Cricetulus griseus: one gene and its partner. The protein of the gene in region 1 purifies or fractionates together with the protein of each later gene. This does not show direct contact. Links are inferred from orthologs where the notes say so. Each region holds a gene or a part of one and is shown on either strand. Other genes may lie near its edges. The genes, in order: Itpr1 and Erlin2.

Region 1 (3,812 bases):
TGACATAAAATCTCTACAGGAAGCTGGACCCAGGCTTACTCATCAATGGCGATCTCGGAGGGAATTTCTGACCACAGACGGGCGTATTTCACAGGGGTCACCTGCTCCTGAGGATCACGGTCCACATGCATATGAAGCATGAGGCGGCAAAAGGATGCCCTGAGGTCATACGGTAGGTTCTCATCAGACATACAGCGAAGAATAAGATCAACATCCAGCTGGCCAGATATTTCATTGATAGCCAGGTATTGGCGGTCCAGACACATCCTTGCAAAGAGGTTAAGCTGATACCTGAGAAAATAACAGAAGGCTCATACTCCAGAGATCAGGCAATATGAGGGTAGTTCAACAGGGGAGTCCAGGTGGCTTCAGATTTCATAGGAGTGACATAGGTCACTCCTATGAACTTATATACCGACATCCCTAAATGATTGTTATACATCTAATTTTGGATTCTGAACTAAGGAGATGGAGGAAATGTTCAAGGCATGCCAGAGTATGGGCCAGCATCCCATAGTAACACATCGGTCTAGCTGTGTTAAAGCAATTGTGTCATCATGTGATTACATTTGCAATCTTCATCTTATAAAATAAATAGGGAAAAAAATGACTAGGCCTGAAATAATATCTTTCTACTTCACCCCTGCATTTTATACTCATCAAAGACCATGCAGGAAATATCAAAGACACTGTTCATATAAGTGTAATGAAAATTCTACAATATTAGGGCTGGAGAGATGTCACAGTGGTTGAGAGCACTGGCTGTTCTTCCAAAGGACCCAAGTTCGATTCCCAGCACCCACATGATAGCTCACAACTGTCTATACCTCCAGTTCTAGGGGATCTGGCATCCTTACACAGACATATATGCAGGAAAAACACCAAAGCATATACAATAAAAATAAATTATTTTTTAAAAATTCGACAATATCTCTAGGGTCTTCTATCACATAAGTTGCTACTGCTAAAATGTAGATTGAACCATTCAGTTTAGGACTGCTCAGCAAAGTTAAAAACATGGGTTTCCACCAATCCGCCTCTTCATAGGAAATGGAAACTCATGTGTATACGCAAAATTAAGTGAGGATGTGCCCTTCGTGTGACGTGAAGAACTGAACTGTGGCATAATGAAAGGTCAAATGCAAAATAGATGGCATACAACAGTCAAAGTTAGAGAAACTGTCTACCTCCATTAACACAGAGATGATATTTTCATATATATATTTTAGAAACAGCATGAAGGAGAGCTTTAGAATGGTATCTGCTACAAGGTAGCATTTACATACAATTTGAGGAATAGGAAACATCCACATATACACATGGAATACAGTATAAACATACAAGGAGATGCTGCAGAGATGAGTCAGTGACTAAAGTATGTGTTGTTCCTGCAGAGGACCTAGGATCAGTGTCCAGCATATACACAGTGGCTCACAACCGGTCATAGGTTCAGTTCCAAGGAATCCAGTGCCTTTTTCTGACCTCCATAGGCAGTGAGCACACATGTGGTGATGCACATGCATACATGCAGGCAACTTGTGTACACATAAAATAAAATACCTTAAAAATTAACAAAGAACTTTGAAAAAAAAAGGCCATCATATATATAAATAGAAGAGAACAGACTAGAATACAGGAGTAAGAAAAGGCATTTTAACTGCAAAAGTCTGTTTATTTTATTAGGAAATATTAGAAGTACTAATTTTTCTTTCCTTTTCTTTTAGAGTTATTTAGTGGGCAACGTCTCTTCTTTTTTTTTTCTTTTCTTTTCTTTTGCTTCAGGTGTCAAGGCTATATGGCCTTGGAGCTGGGACCAGGACTAGGGACTGAGGTGACAGCACAGGTGGACAGTGATGACATACAACAAACACAAGCAAGCAGGTGAACATCCCAGGAATGACAGTGGCTTGAGGGAGTTACGAAAACTGGAGGCTGGCAGCCAGAATGCATCTGTGGCATTTGGCAAGAACTGATCGAGTACACGGAGCACCCCCACCCCCATCAGAAATGCACCACACCAAAGTATCCAGTACTAGAGTTCCTCAGATTTTTGTGATCTTGCATAAACTTTACCAGTTTTATGTTGCTAATCTGAAAATATAAAATACTCCAAAATCTCAATCTTTTTGAGCATCGTGCTAGGGGTTCCAACAGTTCTGTATTTCAATTTCTGAATTATTAGGCCAGGGCTGCATGAGTTGTATTATTGCAAACCCCTGGTTTTATAATATATTTGATTCATGCACACAGATAAGTAGAATATGAAAATACAGGTACGGGTATATACAGGGAGAGATTTTCTGTAGATGTTCTAGAAGTCTGGCACTATTATCCCTAGTTTGAAGATGAGGGATTTGGAACATAAAGTCAAACTCAGCCAAAGTAAAAAGTCTAGTTAAGCATAGAGATGAAGATTTGAACAGATACAGCCTGACCCTGTAGCCTGCATGCTGCTGACTGTACTATAGACAAGCAGTGCTGTATGGGTGAGGTGTGACAGAGGCTGGAGCAAGCTCTTGTGTGTCCTATGACCTGGACACACAACCAGACAAAGATGGACTATGAGTCCATGGGACCTTCCACCAAAAGCTCATAAAACACACATATGTCTTTCTGTTGGGCAACCTTACTACAGGATACCACACCACTCCTCAGAGCAGTGCCTCAGCCTTCCTAATGCTGTGAGCCTTTAATACAGTTCCTCATGTTGTGGTGACCCCCAGTCATAAAATTATTCCATTGCTACTTCATAACTATAATTTTGCTACTGTTATAAATCATAATGCAAAGATCTCTGTGTTCTGATGATCTGAGGAGACTCCTGTGAAAAAGTTGTTTAAAATCCACACCCCACAGCATTGCCTTAGAGTGATCAACAAGAAAACCATCTGCTCCCAAGTGCCACCACTGTGGGACCCCTCAGTCCATGCCCAGCAGGCCCCCCACTCACCTGTAGTAGCTGAGGATATCACGGTCTTCCTTCTGTCCCTCTTTAGCATCTTGTGCCAATTCCCTGACACTCTTACTACGTATCTCTTTGTTGCTGTCCCTCCAGAACAGCCACACCTCTTCCTCATCCTCTCCAGCTTCCAGAGCATTCTCTCCAGTGGCAACGCCTTCAAACTCAAAACGAGAAAGAACCAACCTATATGAAAAGAAGAGATGGAACTCAGTTTTTATGAAATCCTTTGAAATCTTGCTCCTCCTCCAGCCAGAAACACACAGAAAGCCACTTTGTTCTTTATTTCTCCCAGTGTCAGAGCCATGAAGAATCTATGTGGTCTCCGTGTGCTTTAACCTGAGAATTCTTAACTAGGACAGTTTTTCTCCGCACTACATACATGGCTACATTTTTGGTTGTCACAATTGCAAAGAAGTGCTACTAATATGGAGCAGCCACAATCCAGGGACACTTTTGCTAAACATTCTATAGTGACAGGACATTTGCCACCACAGCTTCATCTAGCCCCAAATGTCAGAATGCCAAGGTTGAGGCACCTTGCCTTAATGCAAGTTCCCAAGTTAAGTTACAAACTAAGAAAAAAAAAAAAAACTGCACCACTAGCTTACACCTTACCTCTTTTTAATACTGCCTACACTGCTGCAGTATAGTCACCAGGAAAAATGCTCCTTTGCTAAAAGTGAATTGCTACTATTACCAAAGCAGTAATAATAGTATGACAATTATCAACAATAATTATTGTCACTACTTTACTGAGGACCAATAGGCATTACTTAAACATTTTTATTACATTTTATTTGATGTGTGCTACAGTGGATGTGTAGAAGTTAGAGGACAACTTGCTGGAATC
Region 2 (4,538 bases), on another chromosome or scaffold:
GATTTTGCTACATAGCCCTGATTTCTGTAGTACTTGCTATATATAGCCCAGGATGACCCAAAACTTATAGTAGCCTTCTTGCTTCAGCCCTCACCCAAGTGGTGGAATTACAGGTGTTGAGCCACCACACTTGGTTCAAGAATAATTTTAAAGTCACTTCAATACATGTTAAGTATACAATATATGTTTTGACACATGTATATTTCTAATCAAGCTGTATATGAGTGACAAAATTAAAAGCTTTGGGGGAAAAGAAAGCAGAGGGTAGAGACAAATTACTAAAGAGGAAGTGGGAACTCAACAAAAGTTTAAACCTTTTTATTATTATTTTTTAATTAGTGGTCTTGAGTATGCTAGTCAGAAGCACTTCCACTGAGCTACAATTCTAACTCAACGAGCATTCTGGAGCTTGCTGTTCCATAAGCAAGCACTAAATAAGACCCATATAAAAGAAGGGCTCAAGCCGAACATGTCGATGCCTGCATTTAATCCTAGTATTTGGGAAGCTTGGGCAGGTAAATCTCTGTGAGTTCAAGTCAACCTGGTCTACACAGACCATTTCAGACTAGCCAGAGCTACACAGTGGGACCCTCTCTCAAAAATGGGGCAGTGGATAAAGGCTGGAGGTGTAGTTCAGTGGTAGAGTGACATGAGTTTAATCCTTGACACCACAAGCAAAACTATCAGCCTAGCAAATTGCCCCTTCTAAACCTAAAACGAAAACCTTAGTCGAAGAAGCCACTGGAAAGAAAGTAACTCAAGAGTATTTAAAGGGTCACTCTCCCAAAGTTGCCTTGATTGCTATAAATCAGCCTGCAGAGTCTTTATACTTTCTTGAAATATTCACTTTAAAACATTCTCTCAGGCCAGGACTGGTGGTACACACACCTTTAATCCCAGCACTCAGGAAGCAGAGGCAGGTGGATCTCTTAGTTTGAGACCAGCCTGATCTACAGAGCGAGTTCCGTGACAATCAGAACCACACAGAGAAACCCTGGCTGGAAAACAAACTCAACAACAACACAAAACAGTCTCTCAAATTAGCAGAGCACACTTCTCAAGTTGCCATCAAGAACTGGGGCTCCACAACTTCTGAAGGGGTAGCCTGGCGGTGTGGAGACAAGATTCTTCAAGGGATGCAAGGGAAAACAGTGTCTCGGAAATGATCATGAGAGAGTAGTGATTCCTTGAGACTTCTGTCTGTAATCCTATAAATATAAGTATCGGCATTGCCTTAAAAATGCTAATGACAATTTTAAATTTAAATAAACACACACACACACACACACACACACACACACACACACACACACACACCCTTACCCATTGCCACTGCCTTAGAAGCTCCACCTGAAAAGGGCCCCCCTATTTAACAAAATATACAGATGTTGGCAGGATCTGCTAGCCAGTGACAAGGGAGAGGAGCCACCTGTTTCTGCCTTACCTGTAATATACTCCAATATGTCCCTCTTCTATCTTGTGCACAGAAGAGAAGAGAGATGCACAAAAGAAACTGGAAGCCACAGCCACAACTGCTCCCAACTGAGCCATCAGTGAACCTGTATCCTAGAGATAAGAGAGGGGACAATGCATGGCTTGACATGTAGGAGAGAGGCCGAAGCACTGAGAGTAGCTCACCAAGCTGTAGTTCATGGAAAGTGATTCACAAGCAGACTGTTGTAGAAACACAATGCTAGCCAGATCTACATCTCATATCATCCTTGTTCTTGGTCAACATTCGGTTCCTTAATTGTGGGAGTATAATGCCCACTGCAGCGAACAGGCACTAGCTCCCTAGGCATACCTAACAGAGATCCGGTGCCAACTGGGCAGGGTTCAAAACACAGCCTTCTCTTCACTACTCATTAATGTGTTGTCACTGGAGCCACTTGTAAGTAAGGGAAGAGAGGCAGCTGCAGTGTGTTGGCCCAAATTACAGAGGATGTCAAATGACAGGCAGCTGCGGCTATGTATTTCTGGACAGAGCCTCCTACTTCTAATTGCCTGCCATTTCGAAGGAAACCATCAGTTATTCCCTTGGGACTCTGAGGAGAGAGACAGCAGGCAGTTGAGTTCCGAGGTAGGAATTCTCTGGCCTGTCATCTATCTTCCCAGTTATTCCCTTGGACTTAAACGGGTCAGATCTCTAAACAAAACTGAAACCGAACTCTCCTATATCCTTTGCCCCCAAGTGCGGTGGTTATAGGAAACTGGGAGTGCCTCAGCTTGGGGTACTCTGGGCTCCTGGAGGGTCCCAAACGTTCAGGCACCGAGATGCGACCGAGCGTCTGGAAAAACCATGGTGACGGACCGGCACATTGGCACAAGGCGCGGATTCCAACGCTCAGATCTAACTTATTTTTTTTTTTTACCGTGGCGGCCTCCAGCTGCCGAGCAACAGTAGCGTCCTCTCTGCAAATGCCCTCACCACCACCACTACCCCGCCCCACCTCGCGCCCTTTCCCCGCCCTCCTCCACGAGACAGGCACGTCCGAGAGCTTCCGCTCGGACCCGCTGAAGGACCCGTGGGCAGGAGACTGGACACACAGGGGTTCTCTCTGCTCCCGGGTGGGCGGACTGAAAGTGAGCGGCTGCGGGGTCCAGAGCTCTGGAGCTCTGCCAGGATCAGCTCCATCCCCGCGCCGCAGCGAGGCCCAACGTGCACTGAGGGGCGGGGGCTGCGTACCAGGCTGTCCCTCCAGGCGCTCCGTACACGTCTGAACCCCCGTGCAACCGCAGAAACCGCCACACCCCTCAGCACGCTACTTCCTTCCGGACCAGTCGCTTCGATGATGCCATCAATCCGCGCAAAACTCCTCCCCCTACCCCGGGTTTGTCCGCCCGCCCCGCCCCTCGCACGGCAGTGCTCGGCGGTGCCTCCAGGGGGCGCTCGCGAAACGACCCGGTGGCTGCAGGCGGACCTGGGATTGCAGGTCTGAGGATGCCCAGCGCTGGGAAAGTGGGTTCCCGACACCACGACTCTGGTATCACCTTCCGAAGTTCTGACTTTGGAGATGGCTTAGATACTCTCCTTCGATCCCGGGAGAGCTGGATTTCTTTCTGTTTTTCTTTTTCCGGAGCAGGTACCAGAGCGATGCAGCCTTCTCCTCCTCTTCTCTGCTTTTCTCTCGCACCAGCCAAATGAAAAAACTTCCAAATGTGCAGATTATGACGTCGCTAGTCAACAGCCCTACTGAATTGCTCTTTAGACTTTGAGAGCTTTGTTTAGCCTCGAGGTCCCCACAGCAACATAAAGTGATTAACAAGGAATTATTGCCCTGATTTTAATGGACGGAATCTGATTTTGTGAGGGGTGAGGCCAACAGCAGTCATGGAAAACTTCCTTTGCGTTTTCTTAATAGTCGGAGCTTCCTGTCTTGGTTAACACCTGCCACGGTGAGCTTGTGTCTGCCATCTGCACCTAGGGACAAAGTGGACCAGGAAGAGAACCAGACTTCATGTTTCCTAGACTAAGGTCTTCACGTGTTCTCACCCCGCAGCAGCGTGGTATTGGGACTTTCATATTGAGCCTTCTCTTCTATTTTGTTCTGGGGGTGGAACCAAGCGCTTTGTGGCCCCACTCTTTCTCCAAGCTGCTTCCTTAGCAGGGAATTTCTGAACCAGCCACTAAAGTCATTTTGTTTGCAGATTAGAAAGTGCCCACTTTAATATTAGCTTTAAGTAAATGAACAAAAACCTTTCCATACAGCAGATGGTCACTTGTCAAAGTTAGACGATTTTAGGACTCTGGAAAGAACCTCTCCCAAAGCCAAGGCCCTGAAACCGAATCAAAGTTCCGGGAAGCCAGATGTTTGGGGACTGCAGAAGAAAAGCAGCTGCCCCCAACCCCAGATGCCCAGTGGCTACAAAAGCAGACAACAGACCGTGTTGTCTCAAAAACAGCTTATCTGAGGGAAAGGGCTAACTCCCCATTCTGTCCCTAATGAATCCCCTCCTTGCCCACTCTTAGGTACAAACTCCAGCCTGAAGCATGGAATCTGTATTCCCCTGAACTCTGGTCATGGAGTGACTGGGTCCTGTGCCCTGATGAGGGTGTGGTCACAGCTTGAGAAGGCATCTCTCTGTCGTTAAAAACAAAAGCCTGCTTCAGCTATGTGAGGTCATCTGAATTCTCCAAAACCCAGGAAGGGCTTCCAGGGTATTACAGCCCAACAGGGCCCTTTCCTCACCTCTATCCTATCCCCTATCTCCAGTTTCAAGTTGCTTTCTCTATCAAATGCCACTCCACCTTAGTTAGTACTCACTAAGGCTAAACAGCAGGTCCCATCTAGGGCCGTAGCAGCCTCATTGATAGGTGAAGGGGGAGGGGGCTGGTTAGTCTGAAGTCTGTGTTGGCTGAATTGGTAAGTGTTCTTGCCTTTACCCTCTGAGGAGACCTGGAGTCCCCAGAGGCCTGCCTTTGCTATTTCTAGAACTACACCCCACAACATCTGCTCTCCCTCTTAACACACATGTGGGTAAGGATCCATTTGTTCACAGCAGCATCCTGGGAATTCGACTCTGCTTCAGGAGTCTTT

What was found.
Region 2: the proteins of Itpr1 (region 1) and Erlin2 purify together in Homo sapiens (affinity purification with western blotting, with the first as the bait; 4 studies listed by BioGRID). This does not show direct contact. The link is inferred for Cricetulus griseus from reciprocal best matches to the Homo sapiens genes ITPR1 and ERLIN2.

What each region holds. Positions count from the first base shown.
Region 1 is NC_048601.1:36,112,370-36,116,181, forward strand, and holds part of Itpr1 (inositol 1,4,5-trisphosphate receptor type 1), read right to left. Parts: intron 3,146-3,812; coding exon 2,951-3,145; intron 292-2,950; coding exon 40-291; intron 1-39. UniProt on the Homo sapiens protein: Inositol 1,4,5-trisphosphate-gated calcium channel that, upon inositol 1,4,5-trisphosphate binding, mediates calcium release from the endoplasmic reticulum (ER).
Region 2 is NW_023276807.1:56,817,904-56,822,441, forward strand, and holds the start of Erlin2 (erlin-2), read right to left. Parts: upstream 2,814-4,538; 5' UTR 2,687-2,813; exon of another isoform or gene 2,548-2,686; intron 2,511-2,547; exon of another isoform or gene 2,373-2,510; intron 1,567-2,372; 5' UTR 1,552-1,566; coding exon 1,445-1,551; intron 1-1,444. UniProt on the Homo sapiens protein: Component of the ERLIN1/ERLIN2 complex which mediates the endoplasmic reticulum-associated degradation (ERAD) of inositol 1,4,5-trisphosphate receptors (IP3Rs) such as ITPR1.